Struthio camelus: one gene and its partners. The protein of the gene in region 1 interacts with the protein of each later gene in a pairwise test. Links are inferred from orthologs where the notes say so. Each region holds a gene or a part of one and is shown on either strand. Other genes may lie near its edges. The genes, in order: PRKAB2, RHEBL1, DAO and STX11.

Region 1 (7,954 bases):
TCCCACAGCCCTCAAAAGACAGGTCCTGCTGATGTGCCCAGATACCTTGGGCGGGATGTTGCACCATGCCAGTAAAGGGATTTGGCGTTGTTTGGCTGAAATTACACTGATTTTGTCCCTAGTGGCTTTGAAACAGCAACGGTGGAGCGCAGGGGAGCAAGAAGCTGAGCTGGCAGGTAGGTCAGGCAGAAATCATCCTGAGAGCAGGAATGGCAGCTGAGCCGGAAACACCAGAGTTGGTTCAGCAGCCTGAAAACCCTGCTGGGGCAAGGGCGATGGTATGGCGGACGCCCAAGGAGCATGCCACCTCATCAAGGTCCGAGCACCCCCACCGCTCCAGGACACCACCAAGCCCCATAGCAAAGCCTGAAGGAAACACGGAAGCAGGGCACCGGTGGGAGCGGGGAAGTCGAGGCACGGAACTGCCCACCATGCTGCAGAGCACACCTTGCTTGCCATTGCTGCATTTCCTCATACCAGTTCAGAGCTTCCTCTCCCATTTTGCGGGGTGGCTGGTCCCACCTGCTGCTTCCAAGGCACACCATGGAAAAGAAGAACTGCTCTGGCAGCAGGATGTTCCCTCAGTACAACCTCATGTGCTGACCACATGGGAATGGTCTCCTTTACAGCAGCAGCGGGATAGGACCTTCCTCACAGACTCACTGCTTGGGCCAGCCCTTAGGCCAACGTTCACTGTCCTGGCTCGGCCTTCCCATCCGCCCCTTCCCAGGCTGTTCCAGTTCCAGTTCCAGTCCCCACTCCAGACCCAGGCTGTCCTAGTCCCAGTCCCCTCCATCTCTTCCTGGGCTGTCTTGGTTCAACTGCTGTCACAGCTCCCAACAGCTGCAGCTTATTCCAGCTCCCAGGTAGGGCCTGATAGACCCCGCAGGCACGGCGAGGTACAGGCAGAGATACGCTGAGCCAGATAAGCGCCTGCAGGGAGCACCCCGCAGCCCCGTCCCTTGCCCCTGGGAGTCCCAGCAGGTGCTGAGCGTGCCCACCCATCCCGCAGGAGCACCCCGATGAGGGCCGCGCCAGCATCTACAAGTCCGTCATCATCAACACCTCCAAGGAGATGATGTGCTTCAGCGACTTCCCCATCCCCGACGACTTCCCCAACTACATGCACAACTCCAAGATCATGGAGTACTTCCGCATGTACGCCCAGCACTTCGACCTGCTCCGATACATCCGCTTCAGGGTGAGCGCCGCGGGGCCGGGGGGTGCAGGGTGCCCTGGGCAGGCTGGGCGCAACCTGACGCCCGCTCCTTGCCCCCTGCGCCCAGACCAGCGTGTGCCGCGTGGCAAAGCGCCCCGACTTTGCCGTCACCGGCCAGTGGGACGTGGTCACCGAGAGCGGTGGGGAGCAGGAGTCGGCCGTCTTCGACGCTGTGCTGGTGTGCACCGGGCACCACACCAACGCGCACCTCCCGCTGCACACCTTCCCAGGTACGCTGCGCTGGCTCCCCTGGGCCCACCGCGGGTCTCACGGCCCCGTGGGCCCTTTACCTGCTTCCCAAGGCCTCTCAAAGCACTCGTCTCTTTAGGCTTAGCCCTGACCCCACTGTGCTTGCTGCCAAAAACGCCCCTCGTGGGTTCCTGCATCAATCCCCACTGCAACAAGCTGCAATCCCACCCATTTCAGTGGTCTATCTGCCACGAGGCTCTCACAGTGCCTTCAACATCTGATCAAACTGCTCTGCTCTGCAGGCAGATACTGCTGAATTGTGAAAAGATTTAGGGAATGGGTCTCCGGTCCCAGCCCTGCTCCACAAACTGGGCCATGTCCCACTGACCATCTCCCAGGGTGGAGATGCCACCAGCTCTCTGGGCGCTGTCCCAGGGCTGCATCACTCCTGCTGGTCACAGTGGGCTTGGCTCATTCCCAAAACACATTACCAGCCCGAGCCGGAGGACAGCCACCCCCTCGCCCCGTGGTCCCTCCCTGGCACAGCTCTGCTCTGCTCTCCCTCCCAGGGCTAGAAAAGTTCAAGGGCTGGTACCTGCACAGCCGGGAGTACAAGACCCCGCAGGCCTTCTCAGAGAAGTGCGTCATCGTGGTCGGCACCGGGAATTCAGGCATCGACATTGCTGTGGAGCTGGGCCACACAGCAAAGCAGGTGTGCCCACAGCATGGCTGGCTGCAAACGCACGGGGATGCTGTCCATCTCCTAGGAGAGACTCATTTAAAACCAGGCTGGGCTTTCACCCTGTGCCTGTGCTGCCAAAGCCGACCAGTGGCCAGGCACGCTCCTTCTCCCTCATCTCGCTCCCAGACTATATTTATTCCTGGCCCATGCAGGCCTGTCTGATTTCAGGCCAATGCTGCACTTCAGCTTAAAAGGCTATTCTCCCTCGCTGCTGTGTTTATTTATAGAGAGCAACCTAATCCCAAAGGGTATTGGGGCAAGCCTCCTCCATCGCCTGCAGGCTCCCCTCCCTGCTGTGCCATATCCCTCTGAGAGCATCTCCCACCCCCTTTGCAGAGGGTGGTCGTTGTCACCCTAGCAGCTGTGTCAACAACCCCAACGTCCAAGGGGCACAGCAAGAACACAGCCCTGTCCTCTGGCTGCTGCACAGAGCCTGGAGCCAGCGCATAATTTAGGGGACCACCCATTGACTGGGACCATAGCGGCACCCTGACCCCCTCCCAGCTGATCCCAGCTGCACGGGTGCTGCGCAGGGGATTCGCATGCCTCCACGGGGGTGCACAAAGGAAACGGCTCTCAGGACACAGCTCTTGTCCCTCATGCCACACTTGGCACCTCCACCTCCCCTCTCCTCCCTCCCAGGTCTTCCTCAGCACCAGGCGCGGGGCCTGGGTGCTGCACCGCCTCGCCGAAAGCGGCTACCCCTTCGACTTCTCCTACCTCACCCGCTTCATCCAGCTCCTCCAGAGCCTCGTTCCCCTCTCTGTTGGGAGCTTCATCCTGGAGAGGAAGATAAATGCCCGGTTCGACCACGCGCTCTACGGCCTGCAGCCCCAGCACCGGTAAGCGCAGGGATGACACACGGGTCCTGCACCAGGCACTGGGACGCACCACCCGATGGCCCAGAGAAGCTGCCGCATGCCTGCCCCATGCCCTTTGCAAGGTTTCTCTGTGCTCTTCCAGGATCCTCCACCAGCACCCGACCATCAACGATGACCTGCCCAACCGCATCATTTCGGGCAGGGTGAAGGTCAAGCCAAACGTCCGCGAGTTCACAGCAACTGCCGCCATCTTCGAGGACGGCACCAAGGAAGACGACATCGATGCCGTGGTCTTCGCCACAGGATACAGCTTCTCCTTCCCCTTCCTCGAGGACTGCGTGACGGTGGTGGAGAACCAGATCTCCCTGTACAAATTCATGTTCCCCATCGACCTGCAGAAGCCAACGCTGGCTTTCATCGGCCTCATCCAGCCCCTCGGCGCCATCATGCCCATCTCCGAGCTCCAGTGCCGCTGGGCCACCCGCGTCTTCAAGGGTAAGCGAGCCAAAACAGCGCCCCCCCCCCCCCCCCCCCCCGCGCAGCTATAGCCTGTGGCCCGCAGGCCTGAAACCTGAACCCGCTCGGGCTCTTCCCCTCTAGGGCTGAACAAACTGCCTCCGAGGTGCGACATGGAGGCTGACATCAACCACAAGAAAGAAGAGATGGCCAAGCGGTAAGACCCCGCCGGGAAACGGGGCCAGGCTTGCACGGCCGCCGGCGGTGAGGCAGCCTGCGGGGTCCTGTCCCCTCCCGGCCCTCCCTGCATCCCGCGGTCCCTCCCGCCTTCCCGCACCCGCTGAGAGGGATGTGCTGCCCCGTCCCCCTTCTCCTCCATCCCTGCTCACTTTGCGCCACCCTCAGCCCCAGCAACCCTGCCACCAGCCCTGAAGCTCCCCACTCGGCACGCCCCCAAAATTGCAGCCCTAGCGCCCGTCCACCTCCTCCCGCAGGTACGTGCGGAGCCAGCGGCACACCATCCAGGTGGATTACATCCCCTACATGGACGAGCTCGCCTGCCAGCTGGGTGTCAAGCCCAACCTGCTCACCCTCTTCCTCACCGACCCCCGGCTGGCGACGGAGGTGCTGCTGGGCCCCTGCACCCCGTACCAGTACCGCCTGCAGGGGCCGGGGAGGTGGGCCGGCGCCCGGCAGGCCATCCTGACCCAGCGGGAGCGCGTCGTCAAGGCCCTGCGAGCCCGAGACGGCACCGCTCCTCCCCGCACCACCTTGGTGCCCCACGCCTTCAAGGTCCTCCTCAGCATCGGCCTGATCGTGGCCACGCTCGTCTACGTCTCGCTCTCTCCTTGACCCGCCGACCCAAGGAGACGGGGTCCTGCCCGCGCTCGTCCTCCCTCCCTCCGGGCTTCGGCCGGCACGGAGGAAATCGCCTCCCAGAGAGAAGCTGTCTCGCCTCCCGCCGCCATCGTGGCCCCTCGGGAAGAGGGCAATAAAGCTCGCCCGCGGGCCGAGGGCATCGCTGAGCACACTGTGTGACCTCCTGGGCCGCCCCCGCCCGGTCTCCAGCCCCGTGCCCGGGCCAGTCCCCTGCAGGCCCCGCCACCCCTGGGCCTCGCACCCGGGCCGGCCCTGCCCTCAACCGACATGGCCGCTCCGAGCGCCGCTGAAGCCCACTCGCCCTCAGCCAAGATGGCCGCGCACCAGGCCGGCCGCCCCTAACAAAAATGGCTGCCGCCCGCCCGCTGCCGCACCGACATCTGCTTGAAGCCAGGCCGCCCTCCAAAAAGATGGAGGCTGCCCGGCGGCAAAGAAGCGGGGCTGGGGAAGCCCGTTCCTGCCAGCCCCGCTGGGCCACTCCCGCCGCCGGGCCTGCTCTCGGGGCGGCCGCCCTCTTATCGCTGGGGGCCCGGGCAGGCGCGGAGAGCGGGCGGGCGGGGCGCGGCCATAGAGAGCAGCGCGTGGGCGGGCCAGAACGTCTCGCGGAGGCTGGCGGTGGCGGCCGGCGGGGGGAGGGGGGAGAGGAGGCGGGAGCGGGAGGGGGGTGTCGCCATTTTGGACGGAGGCGGAGAGCGGGGAGGAGGCGGCGGCAGCGGCGGCGGCGGGCAGGTGGGGCCGGGGCGAGGCCGTCGCTGTCCGTGCTGGGGCCGGGGGCGGCTGGTTGCCCGTGGCGCGGGCTTGGCTGGCGGGTGGCCGGGCCTCCCCGAGGGGACGGTTGGGCGGGCGTTACCGCGCCGCGGGGGCCCGCGGGTGACGGTGGCGGGGCCGCTGCGGGCCGGGCCGCGGGGTGCCCTGCTCTGCCCCGCGCCGCCTGGGCCGGGCCCGAGGCCTCGGCCCCGCTGGGTGCGCTCCGCGGATCCCCGATGAGACGCTCTCTTCTCCCTGATTTCCCGGCTTGTCAGCATCATCATCATCAGGCCAACTGAGCTCTTGTTGCGTTTGCTAAGAGAAGGGGGGGCAGGAGAATCCAGTGAAATGAAACTTTCTTGGCTTACTTCAGTGCCAAGAGGCGTCGACGGAGCAGGCTGTGGGCAACTGTCGCCGAACAGCAAGGTGGTCTCCGCTGAACGAATCCCTTCGGATGGCTCGGGCGTGTTTTTTGTGACAGGGTAGCTGGCCCAAAGGAAGAGGGAGAAGCAGTAGGTGTGGTGGGTATAGGAGGGCTTTGTGCACCTCGCCTGTCATTTCCACGAGGAAGCGGGGGGAAGCAGGGGCCAGACGAAGCTAGTGTTGTCATTAGTGACTTGCATGATGCGTTAGAAGATACCTGTGCCAAACTCTCAGAGGATGCTGTGCTACAAGGGGTGGCTGAGCTTTGGAGGATTCAGTTGGTAAAAGTTAGTTCAGTAAAGCGAAGTACAGCAGGCTGTGCTCGCAGAGCACTGAAATGGACTGGCCACAGGAATTTACAAGCCGCAAGCGAGTTGCTGCAGAAGGATGTTGCTGTTCCAGTGCAGCAGCGTGGCTGTGTGCAGGAGGCAGGAGATGCTTCTTGTCTGCACTGAGCTTTGGATGTCACATTTTGGAAAGGAGTAACCACCTGGGAGAAATCTTGGGGAACATATAGAGAATGTGGCCACCGAGGGAGACTCAGAGGGATTGGATTGCTTCTAGAAAAGAGAAGGGGGAGCTTTCAAATCTGAAACAGTCTGCATGTTATCTCTCAGATCTGTTTTGTTCAGCCCTTCTTACCTTGCTGCTAGTAGATGAGAAGTTAAGAGAGTCTTGGCCGAGATAGCGGGCAAGAAATTTCATAATACCACATATAGTTGAGCAGGGGCAGGTTCTATGAGGAGCTGGTTCAGTCTCCTCTAGGCGAAAGGGGGAAGATGTCAGAGCAAGTGGAGCACCTCTCCTGTCCTGGGCTGTTCAGGTACACTTGATCTTAGCTCAGAGGGGGGGCTGTGGTATGTGCTAGCTGTCCTCTCGAGCTATCTTTTAGCCCTAAGGATTTAAGAAATACTTTAGTAATTGCTCTGCAAGTAATGTTCTGAAGCCTGGCTTTGGCTGGCAGCCTCGCCTGGCACCCTACGTATAACCTGACCTTCTAAACAAATCTCAAATGTCACAACTAAGTGTATGAAGTAAGGCTGGCCGTCCTATTGCCTTGCCCACAGAGCTGGCAATCAGCGTAGTATGACTGAAAGCATGTGAGCTACAGAATAAACCTGGGAAAGGGGCAAGGCCCACAGTCCTCCGCTGCTGCAAGTTGGGTAAGGCCTGGAGCAGGCCTGAAGAGACCTATGTAACTTGTGATGGCTTTGTTTGCCCTGAGAGGTGTGTAGTTGTTAGTGGCTTGTTGCCATAGGGCAAGTTCCTCCTGCTTTGCATTCCCTGAACTGGATGAAATTGGGGATGATGCCCGATCTCCACCTGCAGAGCAGTGCTGAGGCAAGCAGGCTTACCTTTCACTCATGATGTGCCTCTGGATGGCCAGCCAGATGTCTGACCGCTCGTGGTAGTGCCGCTGGCGAGGGCTGTAGCAAGCAGACGCCCCTTGTTGTGCTGTGCCGGAGCTGACGTGGCCACTTGCCTGGTGAATGATAAGTGAATGCCATCAAGAGCTGAGCTTTCTGCAGACACCAGGGCATTAGCCTTATGCCTTGGCCAAGCTCCAGCTTGGGCAATTCCACTCAGACTGTTTAAACGCTCCCTGTTGCTTTTGCCAGGCACAAGGCTCTGCTCGTCTGCCCGCGAGCCCTTAGAGAGTTGCTGAGGGCTGTTAAACAGCTGCTACTCTCACTCCTTGGCTGTTTTCTTGCTGGAAATAGAGATTTTGTCTGCAGAGTCTGTTGGGACTATGAAAGAGGCTCTGTTTATGTCAAGCAATTGATTTGCCAATAAAGGTTGGCTTTATTTTTCCCATCAGCCCCTCTGCTATGCTGGCTGGTGAGGGTTGTGTAGGATGCAGTGCAATTTGTGTCTGTTTTAGAGTATAACAATTACCGGGTTGACTAGAGCAACGGCTCATAAGGATATGGCTATAATTAGCTCAAGCTGTCTTGTTTGTTAAATTCCCCTTCAGGTCTCAAACTTGGCAGTGGGAATGAACTTTGAGCCTTTTTTAGGATTGCTGTCAGTCTCCCCGGGCAAAGGATGTTGGGAAACACTGCCTTCACTGCCTCACTGCAGGAGCCCGTGGGCATAGGAACATCGTCATCTTCTCTCTCCCGCAGAGCTGCTGCTGAGCTGCCATGGGAAACACCACCAGCGAGCGACTGTCTGGGGAGCGCCATGGCTCCAAGTCCCACCGCTCGGATGGCTCTGGTGCTCCCCACTCTAGCAAAGAACATCCACACAAGATCATGGTGGGCAGCACCGACGACCCCAGTGTTTTCAGCTCTCATGACTCCAAGGTATGGGCTAGCCGCTGCCTTCCCGGTCCTTCCGCTTGAGGTCCTGGCTGGTGCTTCAGCTCGCCCCTGGGGTAGCTCTGCTGGGGTGGTTCTAGCTGAGCTGAGACAATTTGTGCGGAGTCAGTTTTGTCTGAGGGGGTAGTAACAGCTGACGTGAGAGCTGCTTTGTGTT
Region 2 (7,602 bases), on another chromosome or scaffold:
TTCAGCTCCTGCTCCGCGGCGGCGGCTCCGGGAGGACGACGGCAGGAGGCGGCGGCCGGAGGAAGCGAGCAGGCGGCCGAGGCTCGGAAAAGCCCCGCTCCCGCGGCGCGGGGGCAGCGGAGCCGGGGAGCAGCTCCGTGTCCGTGTGCATGGGGCCGGATGGCGGCTAGCGGCAGCGAGGAGCCCCCGGGCCGGGCCAGGCCCAGCACCCTCCACGGCCCCGTGACCACCACCGGCCCCCGACGCCTGTGCAAAGCGGCCCGCCGCGGGCGGCCACACGTGAGGTGCGGCATCGGGGGGCACCCGTACGGCAGCGGGACCCGGCGGCCCTGCCGCCCCCACCGGAAGGTCCCACAGCAGGGGGGGTCCGCCCCGGGCAGGGCTCACATCAGGCGGCAGTTGTGCTCTTTGCCGTAGGAGTTGTCCACGCGGTCGATCTCCTCAATGATCTTTGTGAAGATGCCCTGGGTCACCTGGGGACGAGGAGACGTGAGCCCCCGGCCCCGAGCCGGCGCGGCTGCCCACCCCACGCGCTGCCCTGCCCCGACCTGGCTCTCCTTGGCCGAGGACTCGAGGAAGATGGCCCCCCACGACTCCGCCAGCTTCTTGCCTTCGTCCGTCTTCACCTCTCGGCTGGAGAAACGGCAGAGGAGGGGAACGGGCAAGAGGGGCCGGGTGGTCGCCAAGCCTGGGGGGCGGCAGCAGCCAGCCCCGGGGAGGGCGAGGGGCCCCAGCACCCTTCTTACCTCTGCAGGGACAGGTCCGCCTTGTTGCCGACCAGCACCACGGGCATGCTGCAGGCGAGGGCAGAGCGTGAGGGCTCCCGGCACCGCCGGCCCGGGCTGGCGCCGGCCGGCGCCGGAGGGGACAGCACTTACCGTGTCTTCCCCCTGCTCTCGTACAGCTTGTTGTGAAGAGTCTTCACCACCTGGAAGCTGCAGGGAGAAGAGGGGCTCCCAGCGCTGCCCAGCAGCACCCAGGCAGCCCCCGGGGCGGCCCAGGCCCACGGGAAGGGACGGCAGGACGAGGGGCAGCTCGGGAGGGCTGGGGCCGCTGTCCCCAGCCCCGCCGCCGGCGCTCACCTCCGCAGCGATGTCACCGAGTACACCAGCACGTAGCCGTGGATGCCGATGATGAAGGAGTGGGGCAGGATGGTGTATTCGTCCTGGAGGAGGGTGGGCGGGTGGGCTTGATGCCGGAGCAGCCCCTCGCCTCCCCGGGGGGCTACGCGCCGGCCCCCGCCCCAGCACCCCGCCGCTCCCGGGTGTTACCTGCCCAGCCGTGTCCACCAGCTGCAGGTGGAACTCGTCCTTGCCCACCATCACCATCTTGCTGTAGGCTGCGGAGATGGTACTGGGTTAGCGGGGCTGCCCACGGCCGCCTGGGGACTGGTGTCCTTCTGCATGCTCCAGGGCTGGCCTGGACCAGCCTCCTGCTGTGCTTAGCCCCCTCCTTGCCAGGGCGGGATGGGCCCCTCCTGCCCCAGCCAGGGCCCCCGTCTCACAGCCACCAGCTTTGGGACAGACAGGTGCAGCCCAGCTTCCCCCAGCCCAGGGGGTACCCGAGCCCTTCCCAGCACCCTATAAAGGGCAGCAAGCTCATGCCAGGGTCGAGCCATCTGCAGACCCCGGCCGGGTCCCTGTAAGGTCTCAGGACAGCCCATGGTCCCCCCAGAGCTGATCCTGCCCAGATCCCTCCCGCTCCCACACGCGCCAGAGCAGGGACATATCTGTGCTCATCACACGTCTGCGGGAAAGGACGACCCCAGGCAGGGCGGCCCCCCAGCCTGGGACTCACTGCTTTCCACCGTGGGGTCGTAGCAGTCCACAAACTTCCCCTCCACGAACTGGTGAGCCAGGGAGGTTTTGCCTGGGGAGGAGAGTGCGAAAGCCCCAAGCTGAGTGGGGAAGCTGGGCTACAGCCCCTCCCCAGGCAGGGGGTCCCAGGCACCCCCCAGCCACAGGCAGGGAAGAAGCATGGCCAAGGGAAGTGAGCCATCTCCCCATCATGTCCCCACATTCACTGCCTCCTCCCCAGCCCAGGGACTCCCCTGGCAGGGGGGGGTGATGGGGGACTCCTGGGGTGGGTGCCCAGGCTGAGCACAGCCCCCACCCCCAGCAGGTCAGGGCAGCCCCCGCTGCCAGGGGCAGGAAATCCGGTGTGCACCAAGCTCTTGGCAGCAGGAGCCACCCCAGGCATCCCCAGCCTCCATGGAGGGGCCCAGCACAGCCCCTGCACCGCAGCCCCTGCACCTCCCCAGCCCCTCAGCAGTCACCCAGTGCACAGCCCCACACAGGGGGCCTGGCCATACCCCCAAAAGCCTCATTGCACAGCATCTTCCCACCCAGGCACACCCCACCAGGATCCCCCTTGCACACCCTGCCACAGACCCCCCCCTTGCACAGCCCCTCTCCCCTTGCACACCCTGCCACGGACCCCCCCCCTTGCACAGCCCCTCTCCCCTTGCACACCCTGCCACGGACCCCCCCCCCTTGCACAGCCCCTCTCCCCTTGCACACCCTGCCACGGACCCCCCCCCTTGCACAGCCCCTCTCCCCTTGCACACCCTGCCACGGACCCCCCCCTTGCACAGCCCCTCTCCCCTTACACACCCTGCCACGGACCCCCCCCCCTTGCACAGCCCCTCTCCCCCTGCACACCCTGCCACGGACCCCCCCCCCCTTGCACAGCCCGTTGCAAGGCGCCTCCCAGCGCACGCCCGGCCGTACTCCCCGCCGCCCTCCTTGCAGCCCCGTTGCGCGGGCGCCCCGCCGGTGCACAGCCATGCCGTGGCACGGCGGGACTCACCCACGGCCCGGTAGCCCAGGATAACCACTTTCCGGTAGCGCACCAGCGGCATGGCCCACGCCGCGCGGGGCGGAGGCGGGCGGCAGGCGGGCGGGGCGGCGCGGGCGGGCCCAGCAAGCGGCGCTATAAAACCGCCCGCCGCGGCGGGAGTGCAAGGGGGGGCGGCCCCCGCCGCCACAACACCGGCCGCCCCACGTGACCACAACACCGCCCGCCCGCCGCTCCCATTGGCTACCCCGCGGCGACGGGGGCGGGGCGAGAGGGCGGCGCAGGCGCGCTGGCGGCCGCGGTTCCATTCATGAAAACGGAGGGAACGGCCCGGGCCACGTGGGTGCCACACACCTGCGCCGGCCACGTGGGGGAGCGCCCGGCCCCAGCCCGGCCCCGGGGACCCCCCCGGAGACCCTCCCCGGGGACCCCCAGCCCCAGGACCCCCAGCCCGGCCTCCTTCAGCCCCTGCTGCCCTACAGACTTCCCCACCCTGGCCCTGCCCCTCCGGGGCTCCTCCAGCCTCTGCCCCCCGGGACCCCCGTGCCCAGGTGCCCCGGCCAGGCCACCCCCCCCATTGCCAGTCACCTTCCGACAAGGGCCATAGATTCTCTTTATTTACCAAAACAATTAAATAGTATTATTTTTTTAAACAGAAATGGTTAAAAGCACATTTGCCGCCTGCCCTGACGGAGCTGGCCCCGCTGTCCAGGCAGGTCGGCGTGGAGGACATTTATATTACCATTTATAAATAGAAAAATAAAACTCTCAAGCAGGGCAGGTTAGCGGTTAGCGCGGGTTAGAGCTGGGCCCGGTGCGGGGCAGCCCATGGCTGCCGCAGGCGCCCCGTCCGCCCGCGGGGCGGAGGGGGTCCCCTCCCCGCCTGCCCTGCGGCACCGAGCCACGCGGGGACGGGGCTGGGACACCCCGGCTCACGGCGGTGCAGGCCCAGAGCTGGGGGACGGCCAAAACGCCGCCAGGAGCTGGGGCACTGGCTGCTTCCACAACCCCGGGGCTGGATGTGGCCCCAGGGCAGGTCCCCCAGCGCCCAGCTTCAGCTCACCAGGCAGCAAAGCTGTCCCCAGCCACAGTGGTTAATAAAGCAATAAATACAGGGGGGCGCGGGGGCCTAGGTCGAGGGTGCAGAGCCGTTCCGGGGTTTTCCAGCCAGGCGCCCGGGCAGTGCTGCGGGGCGGCCCCCAGGATCCGGGCAGGGGGCTGAGCCCCAGGTCCCAGGGCTGCCCACGATACCCCGTTCCCAGCCACCCCGGGCAACGCTCGTCTTGGCAATGCTTCGTGTGACAGCAGGGCCCAGCAGGCACCCCGGCCTCCTCGGGGCCCGGGGATGTCCCTGTTCCCCCTCCCCAGCGCGCCCAGTCCGAGGCGGGGGCCGGGGACCGGCTGCACCCTCGCTGCCTCCCGCTTCCAGTGTGGCACATTAAATATCTGCAGTGTGGCGACTTTGGGGGCCGGGGGCCTAGGCCTGGAGGGCTTCGTGGCCCAGCACACCCCAGGCCAGGCGGTAGAGGAGGCGCGAGTACCAGTGCATGCCCGCCTCGGGCGCCGTGCCGTTGCCCGCCTCGGCGCGGGCCGGCAGCAGCGAGAGGAGCCCGTGGAAGAGGCGCAGCGGGGCGAAGGCCCGGTGCGCCCAGCGGTGGCTCTCCAGCACGGCGTAGCAGGATGCCAGCACCCCGTTGACCAGCAGCGTCCCGTGGGAGGTGAGCGGGGCGAAGACGCCCACGCCATCCTCCCGCGAGACCCGCAGCACCCGCGCGGGCCGCAGCCCCTGCCCGCCGGCCCCGTGGGCCAGCACGGCGTCGCCCGGGCGCACCCGGCTGGCGAAGACGGGCAGGAAGGCGGCCGTGCCGTTGGCGGTGCCCCGGGCCGCGAACACCAGGTGGGACGGGGTGAGGAGCAGCCGGCGGGCCGGGCTGGCCGTCTCGATGGCCACGAAGGACGTGCGCTGGCTCAGGTCGCGGTCGAGGAAGAGCAGCACCTCGGTGGGCACCAGGCGCCCGCCCGGCTCTGCGCCCAGCACCCAGTCGCCCCGGCGCAGGTCGGAGAGGCCCCTGCGCTCGCCGCTCCGCAGTGTCACCGTGGCATGGCCTGGGAAGCAGCCGCCGGTTCGGATGGCCAAGGAGTTATCTGGGCGGAGGGAGAAACCCATGGGTCCCCAGCACCCCTGGGGGGGGCTAGGAAAGCCTGGGAGCCCTTGTCACCCGGCGTCCCTGGGGCCATCCCTGAGGGCCGGGCCCAGCGCGCCCTCCGCCAGCTGCTACCTGGCGGGGACAGCAGCTGCCCACGGAGGGGGAACAGCCCCGAGCGGAGCCCTTTGGACCGGACCTTAGCGCACCGCCAAGACAAAGCCGGTATTTGTCACCCCCCCGCAGTTCCTGCCTGCCCGCTGCGAAGCCCGGGGAGACGGCGGGGCTGCAGAGCCCCTTTGTGCTGCCCGCACTGACGCCCTTTGTTCCGCGCTGGCCCCGCGCCGCCCGGGCCGCTGGCATTTAGGGCCACTTTCACTTTCTGTTTATTGTCAGCCCTGCGCTGGACTGAACTGCACGGGGGCTGCGGCACGGGCAGTCCGGCGGGGCTGTAATTTAAAAATACTTATTCTGCTCCGTGCTGGAAAGGGAGATGAGCTTCCAGATGAGCTTCCAGGGCGCTTAGGGCTGCACAGGATTGCGGGGGGGGGGGCTATGGTTTTTGCCTGTCTGGTGGCCTGCAGAGAGCTGAGCTGCAGCCAAGCAGGGTCTGCGCGGCTGGGTCTGGGCACGGGCTAGCGGCAGCCCCTGCCGCAACCTGGCTGCGGCGTAAGTGGATCCAGGACAGGCAGTGAAACTGAGGCTGGCGGGGTAGAGGGGCCTGTCTGGGGCACCTGCCCCTCGCACAGGCTCGCGCTCCAGCCCTGTGGGAAGGGGCACGTGTCCCCCCCCCAGCCCGTGGGCAGCCCTGGGGCCCTGCCCTCCCCGCTGCGCTGTACCTGCTTTCACAGAGACGTGGACGTGCGCCTTGGACTCGTAGTAGACCCAGTCGAAGCCGGCCTCCACGGCCAGGCGTGCCAGCATGCCGTACTTGTCCCGGTCCCGGTCCGACGTGGTGATGTCCAGCGCCCGGCCCTCGTAGTGCAGGGAGTCGGGGAGGTGGTGCCCGTCCTCATCCCAGCCCTCCGTCACCCGCAGCTTCACCCCCGGCCACATGTTCATCACGGCGATGGCCAGGGAGTTCACCCGCTCCTTGCAGCGCTGGGGGCGGTGGGGAGCAGTGCCGGCGTCAGCCCAGCCCCGCCGCTGCGCGGGACCCCGACACCCAGCGCCTTCTGCCCTAGCCGCCCGGGACCCCTCTCCCAGGGAGATGTTACAGGTGCAGACGGACAGACGGACACCCAGGACCTGCATGGGGCTTGCAAGGAGCTGGTCCCAAGTGGCTCCAAGGGGGGTCCCGAGGTGGTGCCCTCTCCCCAGGGGCCCCTAGAGTGGGTGCAGGGCTCAGGGAGCTGGGTCTGCTCCAGGCCCCAAAGCAGAGCCCGCCTGGGCGGGGATTAAACATTAACGTGGCCCGGGGTGCCCGTCGCAGGTGTCGCTCCCCTCCAGGGCAGCCGGGCGGAAAGGGCACGGGACGGTGCCCGGGTAGCTCCTTCCCCACGGCTGTGGCTGTGATTAATTAACCCGCTGCTCCCAGCGGGGAGGCCCATGGGACAGGGCTGGGGGGAGCGTCCGACCCTGAACTAGACCCGTCTCCTGGCACTGGGATAGGACAGGGCAGGATGGTGCTGCCGGGACCCCTTCGCACACAGCAAAGGGAGCAGGGTCTGAAGGGAGGGGGCGTCGGGGGATGCAGGGCTCCTGGGCTGTGCGCCCAGATAGGAGGTGGAAGGCGGGGGGTCCCGGGCGGCTCCAGGACGCCTGGGGCCCTCTCCGCCTCAGCTGCGGCTGGGCTGGCACGGGCTGCAGGGCGCCGGGGTGCAGCTGCCTGGTCCCCCCCATCTCTGCCTCGGCGGCTGGCGGCCCGGTGCCCCCGGCCCCGGTGCAGGGGGGCTGCGGCGGGGCGGGCGCGGGGGCGGGCGCGGGGCGGCCCGGCCCGGCCGGGCCCGGGGGGGCAGGAATGCGGCGGCCCGGCCCGGCCCGGCCCCGACAATAGGCGCCTTCGAGCCCGGCGCTGACCTCAGGCCCCGGGAATGCCGCGCCCGGCCACAAAGGGCCCTTTGAGCCGCCCGCAGCTCCGGGCCGGCCCCGCGCCCGCGCCCGCCGCTGCCGGGCCGGCGGAGCCGCCCGGGGCCGCTCGCAGCATCCCCCGGCGCCATGGCGACCGCGGGGCCACGCGGGACAGCCGCGGGGCCGAGCGCGACCCCCCCCCCCCGCCCCGCTCCCCGCCGGGGGCACCGGCTCCGCCGCGCCCGGGCCGGCCCGGAGCCGCCCGCTGCCGGCGGAGCCGCCGAGGGACCCCGGGCGTCCGGCTCCCGGCTCGGGCAGTGCCTCAGTTTCCCCGCTTGGGGCAGACAGGCGGCTCCGCCGGGGGAGGCAGGTGCCCCGGCGCCGGCACAGAGGCGCCGTTCCCCCCGGTCGGACCCCTCCTGCGCCCGCCGCGCCCGGGAATCCCTGACGGCGGGTCCTTAATGTCTAACTCGGCGCGACCGCCCCGTCCGGGGGTCCCGATCCTGCCGCCGCGCCAAGGGCCGCGGGAGGAGACGGGCCAAGGGGCGGGGAAGGCACCGTGCGCCCCCGGGGGGGACCGTGCCCCCCTCGCCAAAGGGTCTGTCCGCACCGGGAGGGGCAGTGCGTCCTGGTGAGGGTCGGTGCATCCCCC
Region 3 (7,444 bases), on another chromosome or scaffold:
TTCTACAAATGACCTTCTTCATGCAGCTTGTTTACAGCCCAAAAAGTCATTGCCAGTCCAAGGTTTAATTGCCTCAGGCAGAGGGATCACGATCCGCCCCCGGCACTGGGCAACAGGATCAAAGTCTTTGCCAAGGGAGGTCCCGCTGAGGAGGTGGAGCGCCCGCGCCGGCCAGCCCCGGTGCCCGCAGCGCGGCTGGAAACCTGCCTGGAGCCGCTGCTCCAAAAGGGAAAGGGGGTGGCCGCAGTCCCCTGCAAGGGGCCGTGGCGGCACTTGCCTCCATGGGTACTTCACTGCTGGGATGGAGGAGATGGGGCCTGGCGAGGGGCCGCGCGGCCGGGGCTCCTTCTCCCTGGATGCAGGAGAAGTCGTGATGCTTTGGGCTCGGTTTTCGTGCTGCAAGAGAGCAATAGCCCTTGCGTCCTCTAGACAGACACCCCGGAGCCGTGCCATCCTGCTGCCCGCTCTGAAGGGTTCAAGGGCTTCATTTCTCATTTTTACGCTCGTTTTTCTCCCTTCCTGAACGCCAGCGTTTTGCGTTCTGGGCTGACGAGGCAGGTTTCTTTCTGCGCGGATACAATTCCTGCCCGAGGAGGCAGCCCTGGAAGCACAGGCAGTGCTTGGACCGAGCTGCTGCAATTAGGGATTTTGCTGAGGGCTGCAGGAACTGCCTGAAGCTTTTGTTAAAAGTGGCAATGAGGGTAAAAAAAAAAAAAAAAAACGGGGACTAATCTACATAGTGAAGTTTAAAACACGTATTTGGACTCCCTGGCCCAGGATTTCCATCTGGGGAGAGAGGTGTTTTGTTGCAGCGTTGGTGGCGGTTTTACCGGGAAGGAGCGCGCGCGGCTGGGGATGCTGCACCCAAACGCTGCGGCGCATTGACCCCCGCCAGGGAGGACGCGGCCGCGGAAGGAGCTGGGCAGACGCGAGCCGCGGGCGCCCGGCGAGGGGAGGTGAAGTCTGCAGGCTCACCTGGGTGAAGCCTCGTCCGGCCCTGGGCTCCGCCGTGTCGCCACCCAACTCCCTATTTCCCTGCTGTTGCAGAGACAGAGGAGGGGGAAAAAGCAGTTGTTTTGAGCCCTGAATTATTAAGGGCTTTACATACAATCAGCAAAGCCTATTATACTAATTACCCTATTATTCGCCCGCCTCTTGCTTTTGGCACCGCTGACCCCCTCACACTTTCTTTGGGCCGGGTGCGATGCCCGTTCCCTGCTACGGCGCTGCAAAGCCGAGGTGCTCGGGGTGCACCCGCGCGTCCCGCGAGCGTGGGGCGACCTGAGCTGGGCCCCAGCGGCGCCAGCCCGAACCCCCGCCGCGCCCTCGGGCCGGCTCCGAGCGCGGGGGCCCAGCCGGGCCGTGGGGAACCGTGCGAGGGGCCGCGACCCGCCGTGGCCGCTCTTTCGCCCGGACGACGCGCCCGTTTTGCGCGCCGACGAAGGCGGCTTCGGGCCGCCGGGTCCGCCCCGCTCCGTGGAGGAGACCCCCGCGGAGGGGAAACCCCTCCAACGCCCCCGCAGCGGCCAGGCCTGTGCTACGCGCGTGGCCGTGGGGCGGCCGCCTCGCGTGGGGCCGCGGCCGAGGAGGCCTGAGGCGGCGGCGGCGGCGGGGCCGCCCCCTTCTCCCCTCCCCTCCGGCCGGGCGGCCGCCGCAGCCCCTCCCCGGCGTGCGGGCCGGGCGGCGGCGGGCGCCGAGGCTGCGCAGCCGGCGCCGCGCATGGAGGCGGCCGGCGCCGCGCTGTAACCGCCGCCGCCGCCACCCGCCGCCGCCATGGCGCTGGTCACGCTGCAGCGCTCGCCGACCCCCAGCGCCGCCTCCTCGGCCAGCACCAGCGAGGTGAGCCCGGCGCCGCCGGCCCCGCAGGCCCCGGGCGGCGGTGGAGCCCGACCCGAGCCCGCCGGGCCCGTTCGCAGCGCCCTCACCCCCCTCTCCCAGCCCCGCGGGCCGCCCCATGGCCTCCCGCCGCCCTCCCGAGCCCGGCCTCAGCTCTGCTCTGGCCCCGCTGCCCCTTCGCCTGGCAGCCCCCTGCTCCTGCCTCTGCCCCCCCCCGGCCCCCCTCCTCGGCCGGCCCCCCCCCCCGTCCGTTCCCGTCCCCCCGTCCTGTCCCCCCCCGTCCCCCCTCCTCAGCGCCCCCCCGTCCGTCTCGGCCCCCCCCCCCGTCCTGTCCCCCCCCGGCCCCCCTCCTCGGCCCCCCCCCGTCCGTCTCGGCCCCCCCCCCGTCCTGTCCCCCCCCGTCCCCCCTCCTCGGCCCCCCCCCGTCCTGTCCCCCCCCGTCCCCCCTCCTCGGCCCCCCCCCGTCCTGTCCCCCCCCGTCCCCCCTCCTCAGCCCCCCCGTCCTGTCCCCCCCCGTCCTGTCCCCCCCCGTCCCCCCTCCTCGGCCCCCCCCGTCCTGTCCCCCCCCCGGCCCCCCGTCCTGTCCTCCCCCCCGTCCCCCTCCTCGCCCCCCCCCGTCCGTCTCGGCCCCCCCCGTCCTGTCCCCCCTCCTCGGCCCCCCCCCGCCGTCCCGGCCCCCCCGTCCTGTCCCCCCCCATCCTGTCCCCCCCCCGTCCTGTCCCCCCCGTCCCCCCTCCTCGGCCCCCCCCACCGTCCCGGCCCCCCCCCGTGCCCCTCCTCGGCCCCCCCCCCTTGGCTCCCCCCATCCCGTCCCGTCCCCTAGACAGTTGTCCCCAGCTCTGGTTGCTGCTCGCCAGCAACTTGGGCTTGCTAAAACCCAGGGCAGCCTGCTGCGCTCTGTTTTCGGTCAGCTACATCTCCGTCCCCCCCCCCAACCAAGCAGCAGGTTTTCGCCCAGCGGTCCGCGCTGCTTGGCCCCTCGTCTCCTCCCTGCCCGACGCCTGCGCTGCTGCTGCCGCTCTTCACCTCGCGCTGTCTTCGGCGGTGCTCGGCCCGGCTGGCCGCGTCGCCCTGCGTTACGCCTCTGCTGCTGCGCAGCCCCTGCTGCGGTAATGCCTCCTCTTTCCACAGGCGCTGCAGCGTGCCCTCGCTCCTGCGGCGAGGGGAGCCCGGCCTGCCCCTGCCTGCCGCCCCCCCCCCCGGGACGGTCCCCCCGGCTCGGTCGCGCTCCACCCCGTACCTGGGATGCTGCCGCCCCTCCGGCACGTGCCGCGTAACCCGCCGCACCTGTAACGCTCCTCTGCGCCTCCCTGGCCCTGACCCGTTGTGTTTTTTCATGTTGCGGTGGAAACCCTTTGTACCCCCGCTCTGCTGTCCTTCTCTTCTGGCTTATTCCCCCGCAGCTCGTTCTCCTGCTTCTGCCTCGCTAAGCCCTTTCCCTGCCTTAGGCTTCGCGGCCCAGGTTAGCACTCTTCCCTCATCGCGTTTCCCATATGCCGTCCAAACGCTGCAGCCCCCTTTGATAATTTTCCTTCTTCCTTGTGCATCCCTTTCTTTCCACGTAGCCTGACTTTCTTCTGTGATTCCCCCAAAGGCAGGCCCAGCGTTTTTCTCCCTGTCCTTCCTGTGCATCCCTCTCTCCCCTGTCCTTCCTCCGGTGCTCACTGCCCTTGGCTTTGCTCTGCATCCATTCTCCATCAGGTAAACAATCCTATTTGTCACCTGTCAGGTCCCTGTGACTCCCCCGATTAGCTCATCTGAGGATGGGGGAGGCAAGCGCTGCCAGGGTCAGAGGCTCTCCCTCGCCGAGAGGTGCCCGTGGTTTGCTTTATGCGCTTCGTGTCGTAGGCAGTGACTCATCCCTTCCTTTCTCTAATTTTTCTCCTGTAGATCCATGCTACGTAGTTGGGGTTTCTGAGGCTGCAGGGAGAGAGTATTGGAAACGTGTTGTGTTCATTGAGAAACTTGGAGACGTTACGAGAGAGATTTGTGCTTTTCCAGTTCTTTTAAGGAATTGCATTGGGTTCTGTTCTAGACAGCTCTTACAGGTTAAACTATTGAAGGGGACAAGATCTACTGGTCATCTGACCTACACAAATGTAAATGAGCTGTAACCCTATTGCAGTCAGTGGAATTAGGCTGGATTTAGACTGGTGCAGGTGGAAAAGTAATCAAAGTTGTATGTCCCTACCTTTTCATATACACCTGCATTCGGTGCTGCTTGTATAGGAGCACTGTGCTATTTACTTATTTTATTAGGGTGACCTTAGAGGTCTCCCTTGCTCTGTAGAAAACCTTGCCCTGAGCATCACGTCTGATGTTCTGCGCGGCAAGGCGCTTCCTGCCCGCACGCGTCTGCGGGCCAGGTATACCTCGGAGGCACCCAGAGCAAGGCATCAGCTCTCGTTCTGTTTGAATCGTTCTTTCTGGCATAAAATTCCATAAAACTATAAACAGTCCTTTTGAAAATTAAACATGTTGTTTTTCTTCCTATAAAGTTTATTTAAAAGAAAAATCCCATCAAGAAATGTCAGTGTTTTCCCTGATGTTTTATGATCTTTATTGCAAGAATGGCTTTACAGGCCCTTCAGGGTGTGAGCCTGTGTGAAAAATTGTTAGAAGATTTTTAAAACAGAAAGTGAAGACCAAATATCCTTCCTAACTGTAAGTTTTTTGCAGCCTGTCTTAACTCATAAACCTGAAAGAGTTTATAAATGGATGCTGCTGTCCTCAAGAGACTTGCAGTCGTGCCAGTGTAGCATGCCAAAAATTCTCAGGGGTGTTTTATCTGAGGAGAGAGTAGTTAATGCACTTTTGCAAACTTGCATGCACTCAATTAGCTCAGCTGCCGTCTCACTTCCACACCCGCTACATCTCCGTGCCAGGTCCTCGTCCCCGCTGCTCCGGCTCGGCCGTCAGCTTCGCCCAGGGCAGGCGCGGGGCCTGGGGTGAAGCCATCTGCAGCGCCGCGGCCTCCGGAGACCTGGCTGATGCCCGTGCCGACAGGGCGTGCTGCAGCGGGGCTGCTTGCTGCAGCTCCAGAGCAGACCAACGTTATGTTATAATGTAAAACCTGGCAGCTCGGAGGGATGTTCTGACCTAAAAGCTGAACCTCGTTGCTGAGGTTTCTGCAGTCTGTAACGCTGAGTGCTCCTGCCTTGTTTTGGTTTTTACTGCAGCCTTTTAAATTAAAATAAAGGGGCAGTCAAGTTGAAACCAGGTCAGCTTCTGCGAAAGATGAGCCTGAAGCAGATTCGGAGACGGTCTCTGCTGTGGAATCTCTACTGACAATCTTCATGATTTCACGGTCACATTTGTTTAAAAAAGTTTTTTTCTCTCCCCTGTTGCTATGTGACAGACCCAAACAAACACAAGATCTGCTTCAGGAAGGCCACAGCCCTGCCAGGCCTTCCCAGGGCAGGGGTCTGCCCTTCGAGGAGACTGGGGATGCCTCGATGTCCTCGCGGCTCGGTCTGCCGCCCCGTCCGGGCGGGAGCATGGGGGCCTCCCTGGGGCTGCACTCAGCTGTGTTCAATGCACAATGTAAACAAACTAAAAATAGAGGCGGTATATTTTTCTCCAGATCTCCATCAGCTGCAGTCATTTTACACGGGTTTTGTATATATCTCTTCCTCCAAAGGGCTATATAGCATCCGGGCTGCACAGTTGCTTTTGTTTTCCTCTAGCATTATTTGTTCTTGTGCATTGTAAACAGTGCTGCTCTTGTGAGCTCTGACCTGCTGAGCCTTAGTTCGAGGGGCGTGTGGGACGTCCCAGTTCCTGCACCCGCATGCACACACTCAAAACTTTTAATTTTGAATGTTTTACATGAAAATATTTGCTTGTTCTTGCGTTTTACAAAATCACCTGGAGACAGGGAACCCTTATTGTAGCCCTATTTGATGTGGGTTTTAAGCTGTGCTGTTGTAAATAACAAAATGTGCTCTGAGCACTAGACCTGAGGGAACCTGATTTCTAACAAATTTGTGTCTCTCCAGGTTAAGTAGGCTCTGGTGTCCAGTATGTTGCAACTTAGAATGAAGGTTTTTCCTTGTTGCAGGCCCATCTATGAAGTCTCTGCTTTGTGGGCTCTCTGAGATCTAGCTGACCAGCCTCCCAGGACAACCTTTTGCTTTGAAGGGATACTGCCTGGACTTTTCTGTCTGGTTATCTCTGGAAGAAATGAGCCACTATATATACGTTTTGTCCAAAAGTTAATAGAGAAGTTGAAGAAGGTGGTTGGAAAGCAGAGCTACGTGAAAATGTTTCCCTGGAAAAGCAGGCTTAAGTCAGCTAGTATGCTCTGTTTTAAGGAAAGTAAATAATACTTAAGGCTCAGTAATGTCACCTGAAAAGCCAAGTTTGCTTCCAGGTGCAAAGTTTCCACTACTGTCTAGTGGAAAAGCTACTGTTTTAATAAATCCCTGCTGTTCAAAATAGCATATTTATCAGGAACGCTGCAGCTGTAGAACCTCCTGGTGGCTGAGCAGTCCCACCACATCTTCCCAGCCTCAGGACGTGTCTTCTGCCAGGGATCAGGAGCCCACTTTCCAGGCGGAGGTGGGCCTCATCGGCTAGCTGGCAGCTCAGGGATGGTGGAGGAGGCTCTGCTGACTTGCGAAGGCTCCCTTGGACCCAGTGAGCTGCAGATTAGTGCGGGGTTGCTCCCTTGAGGCTGGGCCAGGGGAAGGCCAGGAGTTAGCTGCTGGAGGCTGGGACAGAGACGGAGATAGGCAGTTTTGGCTGCTTCCACTGGAGGGCACTTGTGCTGTCACTGCACACCATGAATTGCAGTGTTAATTTATGCCCCACTCTTTGTTAATGGTATTTCACTTAGGACAGATTCTACTCGCACGTGTGCGCTCAGTAGGAGTGATACGTGCCTTCTTGGTAACATCTAGGTTTGCGACCTTTAAACTGATCTGCACGCTAGGACCAGCTTGCAGGATTAGGGCCATAGACTTTAAAATCCCTGTGAGCCCCTTTGTCACCCAGCACTGGGTGCTGATTGCTTATATGGCTGAGGAGTTTCATTTATCTCAGACACTGGGGAAAAAAATAAGCAGTCCAAAAACCAGCCACCCAAACCCCTTTATTGCAGTGATTGCACCAGTGATGGTGCATGAGGATCTTTTAAAGTTGTAACATGGCAACAAACAGCATGTAACTTGTTCTGTTTCCTTCTTTTCTCCCCTCAGCTGGAGGTTGGCAGTGATGAAGAACGTAAATTAAACGTGAGGTAAGCAGAGCCACTCGGCCCAAAACATTGTTTCCACTGTTTCTGGTTGTCTGCCGTGTAACGTCTGTCTTCTGATCTTTGGCCAGGACCTGAACAGAGCTTTGGCCGGGAGCAGGTATGGTTGCCTGGAGTGGGTTGCGTGGTCAGGCCTGCAACAAGCAGAGGTCTAGAAACTGGGGCTGGTCTTTCCCTTATCGGTTTAGTTTTGAGATGAGCATTTAATGAACTGAAAGCATACAAGAGGACTTGTTTTTTTTCCTGTCGGGCGCAAACTGGAAAATTGCTTATCAACTGTGGTCGCAAAACTGTTATCTCAACATCTCTGTCTTCTCCGCTGCTTTGAGATTGGAGATTTGGAGGGCTACACTG
Region 4 (7,750 bases), on another chromosome or scaffold:
TGCATCATGTTTTGTCATCTCAGCACTACAGAGATGACCAAAGAGTCAAAGAAAGCAAATGGACCAGATAAAAGATAATAGAGGGGCTATCTGGTCAAGCACTTTCATATTTGACACACCAGTTATCTTCGAACTATCATGACTGTTTTTGAATATGCCAATATTATGATGATTTTCTGTCAAACTAGGAGGTTATCCATATTTTTTATTAGCAACTTGGAGGATGAAACCAAGCATAAACCTGTACAGTCTGCACACTGAACTGGAAAGGGAAATAAACAAGCATTTGGTGACAGAGAGGAGAAATAATTAGAATTCAGATGATCTTGGCAAGCGTGAAAAGCGATTACAAAAATAAAAGGAAATTCAGTAGAGAGACAAACCTGGGATGGCCTATTTAGAAGATATTATTTGCACAGATAGGAAATAGGGAATACCTAGTTTGGTAGCAGGAAAGCATCAGTGGGGCTACGGCAGATTGCAAGCTAAAAAATAAGTTCACGATACCATGCTGCTTAAAAAAAAAAAAAAATCACATCTGGGCTGATGTGCCTTATATAACCGATAGCAAGGAAAGTACTGATTCTGCACTGCTTGGCATAGGCAAGGCCTCAACTGGAAGACTACATCCAGCACCAAACTAGGAACATTGCAAAATAACTAGAAACTGTCTACAAATGACTTTATGTAGACAACCAGGGAGAGAGACACAGTACTCCAGTATGTTAAAGAGGTTTACCAAAAGAGAAATGATCAGTTTTTTCCCTGGATCCCTGTTCCCATCAGAAACACACGAAGCAATCAATTTGATTCACATATGACATTTAGCAGGAAACACTTTCTTACTGGGAGAGGAGCTGAAAATTGGACCAGTTCTCCATGGGAACATTGTGGAACTCTCTTCCTTAGAGAATGAAGACAGGCTAAAAAAATCTCTTTCAGGTCTGGTTTACATGCACTGCTACAATGCACCAGAATGGATTAAGTAATGTCTTAAAATCTCTTTGTGACCCTATGTTTGCATGATTTTCTGCTTTAACGCTAAACTCCCTCTTAGTCCCTGTCTCATTGCACGTCTAGCATAGTGTAAGTGCGTGCCTATGCTAGGGAAGAATTCTGGTAATTTATTTTACCCAGTATCCTACTCTTTACCCTACTCCCTACTATTTTTGTACCAATGGCAACTAGCATTCCTCCTTTTAGAGCAGGTCTTAGTTATTGTTATATTATCATTGCATTTTGTCTCACAAAACGTTCCCTCTCACTTTCCAAAAACAGCATAGTGCAAAACAGAAAACGATTTCAAAAAATTTTAAAATGCCTTAGATATGGAGCCTAACCCCACAACATCAGAAATCTCCATGGCTATGTGATATAATATGCAACTCATTATGTTTATTTGCAGTGCCCAGAAGTCAATGTTATCGCACTATCCCTCTTGTAACATGTCACGAGATCTTCAGAAAATGCTTGTTTTCGTGATAAGGCTGTCTTACGACAACAGAGGTTAACTTACAGTTTTAGTCTCAGCCAAAAAGCAGATGTATGTGCCATATGACTTAACATGCAATTTCAGTTTCAGAGTAGTGGTGATTCCATGTAGTTAGTGAAAAAAACAGAGGTGAGAAAATGGTGTTCACACGTTGGGGTGTGGGGCATCTCAGCCTCCCTTTTTTTAGGTGTCTAACTTCAGTCTGTTCTTCTGAATGAAGAAAAATTGTAGTCGTCTATACCACTTCCATATAAAACTATTTAAATAGCAAGTAACACTATTATTAGGAAAACAGTATCCCTTAAATTGTACTCTCACCTTAAAGAGCTACATATTCCCATTTGAATCCCTTTTTAAAAGCTTCACAATAGTTCAAAAAATACTATCTAAAAACAGGAACAAGAACTTTGAATGTCCATTTTAGGCCAATGCTGTTATTCTAGTCATTTCCTTTCCTGGTACCACACAGTTGCTTGCATGCAGTTATCTCAGGCATACACGAGTACTTCGCAGGAAAGAAAATTAGTATCAATTACTAGGAAACAATCAAAGAATGCTAACTTCTGCAGTCACTCGCAGATCTGGCCATTCTGATGCAGAAGAAAGGCGTAAAAGCTATTATATTTTGCGTATAAAACCAACTATCTATAAAGTCTGCTCTGCAGCTATTCGTAATGACATATGAGAACTATGAATAAGTTTGACTTTTGAGTCAGACAATCAAGGCAGCTGGAAATTCAGACAAGCGTTCAGCCGGCATGAAGAGACCCTCAGGGGCTCGGCATTACAAACGCCTTTGGTTTTTGCTCGTCCTGCTACACCATGAAAAACCAACAGCAATCCCTTTTTCTCCTTAGGAGAGACTACAGCTGTAACACGGTAGCTAAAGCTGCGGGGCTTCAGACAGCAACCGCGCTCCCCTGCAACTTCCCCTCCGCGACGGCCGGGCGACCGTGCTGAAATGGGGCAGTTTCGCTTACTCTTACGCAAAACCGTATTGCAAAGCGCTCCGAAAACCACGTTTCCTCCTCGCTTACTGGCTAGACTAGGCGCAAGTGACGGCAGGAGCTGCGGCTCCCTCCCCGACAGAAAGGGATGGGACTGACCGCCGCCGCCGCGGCGTCCGGGCCCCGGCACGGCCCTCAGTCACCCTCTGCCCCGACGGGGCGGGCCGGGCCGGCCAGGGGCGCCGGCCGATGTTGAGCGGGGCTCGGGGGTGCGAAAAGGGCTCCGGTGCTGGGATCCGGCAGCATCTCCCCGCTGCTGACGGAGGCGCGCCCGTCGGGTGAAGGAGCTCAGCCGCAACCCGCTCCCCGCCCCCGAAGAAGGCGCCGTCTCCCCCGCAACCCCTGTTGCCCAGCAGGTACTCACCGCCCAGGCAGGACGGGACGGCTCGGCTCGGCTCGGCTCGGCTCGGCTCGGCTCGGCTCGGCCCGCGGTGCTCCCAAAGGTGCCGGTGCCGCCGGAGAGCCCGCGCCGTCAGGGCAGCGCTAATCTCCGCGGGGCGCCCCGCCTCCGCCGCTCGCCTCGCCCGCCCATTGGCTGCGAGGGCGGGGCGATTTGCATAGCGGCCGGTTCGGCCCGCCCCGCGGGCTGTCCATCAGGGCCGTCGAGTCGAGGGGCGGGCGGCCGCGGAGCGGCGCTAACCCCTGCCTCCTCCTCCTCCTCCTCCTCGCGAGGGGGTGGGGGGAGCCCGCCCCGTCGGTGCTGGGAAGCGTGGGTGGGCCTGCCTAGCCCTTGTGGCCAACCCTCACACGGAGCGAGCCTGCCCTTTCCTGCCCCCACGGACAAGCGGTGGCTCCCCGGGATGAGGAGGAGCCAGTGCCGACGGGGCGTCCTGGGGCCTGTGGGGCAAACTGGGCGGCGCAGCTGCCTCCCAGACCCTCCAGCCGCCACAGCCCTGGGCGCTTCTCAAGCCCGGACTATGTGGCAGGGAGCTGCTCGGTAACCCATGCACTGTGGTCACCGTCATAACGTGGGGCACGGCACAGGTCCGCACACACTCACTCCGGCTAATAAGTGGGTTCCTGTCGCAGCGTTTAGCCTCAGGTGGAGCCCTGCCCTGACGCGCGCTGCCCGCATGTAACCTGCTTGGCTTTTCTCCCGTCTGGACGGGCAGCCCTAACGCCGTCTTCCAGGCGGTGCTGCTTGCTCTGTCAGGCCTTAGCCTGCGCGGCTCACCATGCTCTGCGCCACCCCGGCGCACCGGCCGCCTCCACGCTCACCCTCACCTGCGAGGACAGTCTGCCAGAATCGCCCCCATGGCTGTCCTGGCACGGCAAGGCCTGTCGGGTCCCGCTGGCTTCAGTGTGTGCGTGCTGAAATACGATGTCAAAGGAGCATCTGGGAACGTACATCAAACAAATTACTTCTCTGTTCAGTGTGTGAAAAAGAAGATGTGCTCTTTGCACAATCCTTCAAAGAGTAGGGGTCAAATTTAGCCCATTTTGGGGTGGTGATTTGATCTCTGATAACTCCGGCCCTTCCTGAAAGACATTTTCCCCAATATTAGTACAAAAACTCTCGTGAAGCCACAAAGCTATTAAAACTAGCTAAAGAGGTTGTTTAAATCTTTCTGTGAAATGAAGCTTTTCCTTTCTTTAAGACCCATTTTTTTATGTGTATTTTTTTTCTCCCATTCACCACAAAAGTTAGAGATAATTTCAATCTGGAAAATTTAAAATAAAGAAGTTAGGTTTTTATTGGTGCCAAAGAGTAACTGAAAGAGCATCTGTGCTTTCCAGGACCATTCTCATTTATAAATAACAGGGCTCCAAAATTTCTTTTTAATAGCATCAATCCAATCCTGGGCATGACAAGAGAAAAGGTATTGATGATGGAGACTGTTGCAAAGAGGTACAAAACTTCCTCCCTCCTTATTTTCTATTGTTGCTCTTGTTTCAGGAAAAAAACTTTGGGAAGATTTGAGGTTTTATGGTTGATGATCAGTTAAAAAATATATTTGACACAGTGACTCTTTCTTCCTGAAAAAAAGGGAAAAAACCCAAAGCCATAGCTCAAGTTGTGCGTTTCTCCATTTGTAAAATAGTCACTCATTTTTTACCTGTAATCCATAGGCACTTTTTTTTTTTTAATATACATTTCCAACCCCTTCCTCTGGCAAGGGAATCCTCTTCTCTGCAAGCATGAAGAATTTCTCTGTTTATAACTTTGCCAAAAAGTACCAAGTGTGCCTTCTGTTGTTTCTTTGCATGTTTTGGGGCAGATTTCAGCAGAGCAGTCCAGGCATTTCTGGGAATACAGCTGGGAAAAAGTACATTCTTCACCTACCAAAAACAAAACAAAACTGTGGTGCCCTTCCAGATAGTTCTAACTACTATTCACTTTGGAATGGGGCAAACTGCAAGACTTGGAGAGCGCCCTTTAAGCCACACCATTCCTACAAAAATCTAAGCAAATTAGAAGGCTTTGAATTAATACAACAATCTTTGCTTATCAGCGGATGTTCATTTTTACAGCTCAAAATGGCTATATTCTTATGCAGCTAAGCTGATTCTGAGTCTTACCCTTTTGGTATTTCATATATATATATGTATGTATGTATGTATTCTTTGCATTTGGAGTCTTTGCTGGAATTTTTCTCTTCGTCCTTGATTCTGGAACTGAAGTTAGTGGGTTCCATCAGTCCTCTAAAACTACTGGAAGGCATTGAAGCATTTTTGGTTTTTTCTCTTCTTTTCCAAGGTGCTGCTCTGTAAGATTGACTACAGCATTCCAAACTTCCAGGCAGATAGCTTTCTCCTTGCCACTGGACTGCAGAAAACAAATGGGACCTCAGCGTTGTTAACGCAATCAGAGCTGAAAATAGAACTGCATGTTAATGCAACTTCATGGGTAATCAAAGATATATTCTACTTTGTATGACGCAGAACAACAATTGCAAATTAACCTGCTGCTGTTCCAGCAAAAGCAGTTGTCAGTGTATTAGTTGATGTGCCCAATGATCCATTCAAGAACAAAATGCTTGTCTCGGAACATCTGGTATCTGCTATATAGTTTGTGAAGAGGGTATGGAAGACCAAATAAATGAGCAGCGAGCCTCCTCTTCTATGGGAGAAACTTTTTGTTACTTCCTCAACAGCTGAGTAGGTGCAAGGTAGCACTACTGTTAAATCATTAACCATGCAAGAAAGATGTGAAGAGTGAGAGGACTTTATTTCTATAAATTCTGTCACTTACAGTTACCAAAATTAAAGAAGGTTGAAAAATTTCAGAGATAGCTAACTAATTAAGAAACCTGAATAGCTAGCTAAAAAAGTTCACCATTGACAAACAAAGAATCTGAAGTGCTTGAACACATGTTGCTAGATCCTACAAAGGCTGGCTATTTGCAGTGTTACGAGAAAAAAAAAAGCAGCTAAGTCATATAACAAAGACTGTCATGTCATCCTACACATGAAAGACACTTGCCTCTTTTAAGCTAGAATCTAGCATGCATCATATCAATGAAATTACCATTTCATAGTCCTGGACAAATAGCTTTATACTAATACCAACTTTTTACTTTTTAACCTCATGAGCCTTTAAATGTTCCTGAAATTGAATGATTTATTAATTGCCAAGATTAGTGGAGGGATACAATAAGAGACTCGTGCTATGAAATTCTTTCATTTATTAGTTTGCCAGGGAAAGTGAGTCTTCAGCTACAAAACTTCCATATTTCCACCTTGAGTAAGGACCAGCAAGCACTCCTACACTGAGTCTTTCACATTTTCTTTTAGCCTCTGGCAAAATCTACTGACATGACTGAACAACCTCCTCACTAAACTTTGATGATGTAAAAAAATCCTAGTTGGTTGTATGAGGAACGGACTATTGAAAAGAATTCAGAAGCCAAATATTTCTGCAGCTAGCTCAATCCAGCTTAATTCTTTGTCGAAGCCTGTGGAGTTATTTGGATTTACAAGTGATAACAGAAAGCAATATTCAGCCCTACAGATGTTTTTATTTTCACTTGCCTCTTTTCTCTCAATCATTAGGAATGAAGAAAGTTGTCAGAAAAGAATGCACTGCTGAAAGCTATACAGAGATAAATGCTCCAGTGTTAGAGAATGTCCCCACCTTAGGGCCTTTTCTCTTGCTTACTTAGGAAAGAATTTATCCTTTTCCAATTATGCCTGAAAGGCATGTGAAGCCAGCCCCAGGTTTAATGCCTCTGAATTCCTTGTGAACAACTTGGCACTCATGCATGGCTTTGAAGGTTCATTACACATACTTGAGTTCTTAAAGAGCTGCAAATATAGTTAAGATTGTATTAAAGGTCAGATTGGATGGAAAGACAATAGCCCTGGGTCTTGTGTTGATGCAGATGATGATGGCAGCTGCCAGCATGTTTTATTAACCTAGTAACTGATAAATGAACAAATTCAAAATATTTTCACATAATAGACCTAAATAAGTATAGTTCAGCTGAAGCCAATGAAGCAATACTGATTTCCATGAGCTGAAGGCCTGGCTCATTATGAAATAAGCCACTGAATGGCTATGCTGTTGTCATAACCTTTGAATGCACGAGTACCGCCCATATATACAATATGACAGAGATTCTATCATCTGGATTATTTCTGTTTGTTTGTTTGTTTTCTAGTCACATGAGCTGGCCTAATGAGAGGTATTACCGAATCCTATTTCTAAACTATAATAAAGACATTTAATCTAAAACCTCTATCAGGTAAGAATGAGGCATCTATTCTGTACATTTGCGTGCCTTTAGATTAACACCAGTTAGTCTCTGAAATATAGAGGATGCAACACTTTGTAACTTCACAGCGCAGAGACAAAGAAATCTTTGTAACAGTCAAGATGGAACAAAAAGCCTGGACATGAAGACACATACCAGGAGTTCAGATTTGGGTATAGTTTTAGTAACTAGCAGAGTCTAGAGGCAAGTTTGTATTACGAAAAATTCCATGCCTCTTTCTTCCCTCAACAACACTCTAAGCAGGAAAGAGCCAGGCTGTATATCAGGACTGAAGGGAGAAGTTGCAAGGGGTTAAGAGCATGGATGGCCTGCTAAGAGTGCTGTAGAGAATAGCCACACCTTTACAGAAATAGCCATCAGAAAATTAGAATGTTTCCATGGATTCTTGGAGCATCCTTTTCAAACAATCAGTCTTTCAGAGAAACAATTATATTCTAAAAACAAGTTTCAATGAAACAGAACAATTCTATACTAGAATTGTGTAAGTGTATGTTTTACAGAGCCATGTCGACGGATCATCTTATTCATGCTGACAG

The links.
Region 2: the proteins of PRKAB2 (region 1) and RHEBL1 interact in binary tests that used the Homo sapiens proteins (3 or more experiments, as listed by UniProt). The link is inferred for Struthio camelus from reciprocal best matches to the Homo sapiens genes PRKAB2 and RHEBL1.
Region 3: the proteins of PRKAB2 (region 1) and DAO interact in binary tests that used the Homo sapiens proteins (3 or more experiments, as listed by UniProt). The link is inferred for Struthio camelus from reciprocal best matches to the Homo sapiens genes PRKAB2 and DAO.
Region 4: the proteins of PRKAB2 (region 1) and STX11 interact in binary tests that used the Homo sapiens proteins (3 or more experiments, as listed by UniProt). The link is inferred for Struthio camelus from reciprocal best matches to the Homo sapiens genes PRKAB2 and STX11.

The regions. Positions count from the first base shown.
Region 1 is NC_090949.1:9,238,427-9,246,380, forward strand, and holds the start of PRKAB2 (5'-AMP-activated protein kinase subunit beta-2), read left to right. Parts: upstream 1-4,943; 5' UTR 4,944-5,035; intron 5,036-5,252; exon of another isoform or gene 5,253-5,479; intron 5,480-5,515; exon of another isoform or gene 5,516-6,299; intron 6,300-7,451; exon of another isoform or gene 7,452-7,602; 5' UTR 7,603-7,620; coding exon 7,621-7,782; intron 7,783-7,954. Other genes in the region: flavin-containing monooxygenase 5, read left to right, coding at 1,013-1,201, 1,287-1,449, 1,978-2,120, 2,793-2,992, 3,114-3,466, 3,572-3,644, 3,922-4,279. UniProt on the Homo sapiens protein: Non-catalytic subunit of AMP-activated protein kinase (AMPK), an energy sensor protein kinase that plays a key role in regulating cellular energy metabolism.
Region 2 is NC_090969.1:932,980-940,581, reverse strand, and holds the start of RHEBL1 (GTPase RhebL1), read right to left. Parts: upstream 3,006-7,602; 5' UTR 2,861-3,005; coding exon 2,809-2,860; intron 1,870-2,808; coding exon 1,798-1,869; intron 1,340-1,797; coding exon 1,272-1,339; intron 1,166-1,271; coding exon 1,083-1,165; intron 936-1,082; coding exon 879-935; intron 795-878; coding exon 747-794; intron 634-746; coding exon 549-633; intron 474-548; coding exon 384-473; 3' UTR 1-383. Other genes in the region: DHH (desert hedgehog protein), read right to left, coding at 4,274-4,941, 5,780-6,041.
Region 3 is NC_090958.1:18,966,303-18,973,746, reverse strand, and holds the start of DAO (D-amino-acid oxidase), read right to left. Parts: upstream 3,013-7,444; 5' UTR 2,863-3,012; intron 1,840-2,862; coding exon of another isoform or gene 1,774-1,839; exon of another isoform or gene 1,657-1,773; intron 1,324-1,656; exon of another isoform or gene 1,137-1,323; intron 1,104-1,136; exon of another isoform or gene 1,039-1,103; 5' UTR 976-1,038; intron 602-975; exon of another isoform or gene 397-601; 5' UTR 278-396; exon of another isoform or gene 1-277. Other genes in the region: SSH1 (protein phosphatase Slingshot homolog 1), read left to right, coding at 1,774-1,839, 7,035-7,075. UniProt on the Homo sapiens protein: Catalyzes the oxidative deamination of D-amino acids with broad substrate specificity. Required to catabolize D-amino acids synthesized endogenously, of gastrointestinal bacterial origin or obtained from the diet, and to use these as nutrients.
Region 4 is NC_090944.1:84,731,370-84,739,119, forward strand, and holds the start of STX11 (syntaxin-11), read right to left. Parts: upstream 3,014-7,750; 5' UTR 2,864-3,013; intron 1-2,863. UniProt on the Homo sapiens protein: SNARE that acts to regulate protein transport between late endosomes and the trans-Golgi network.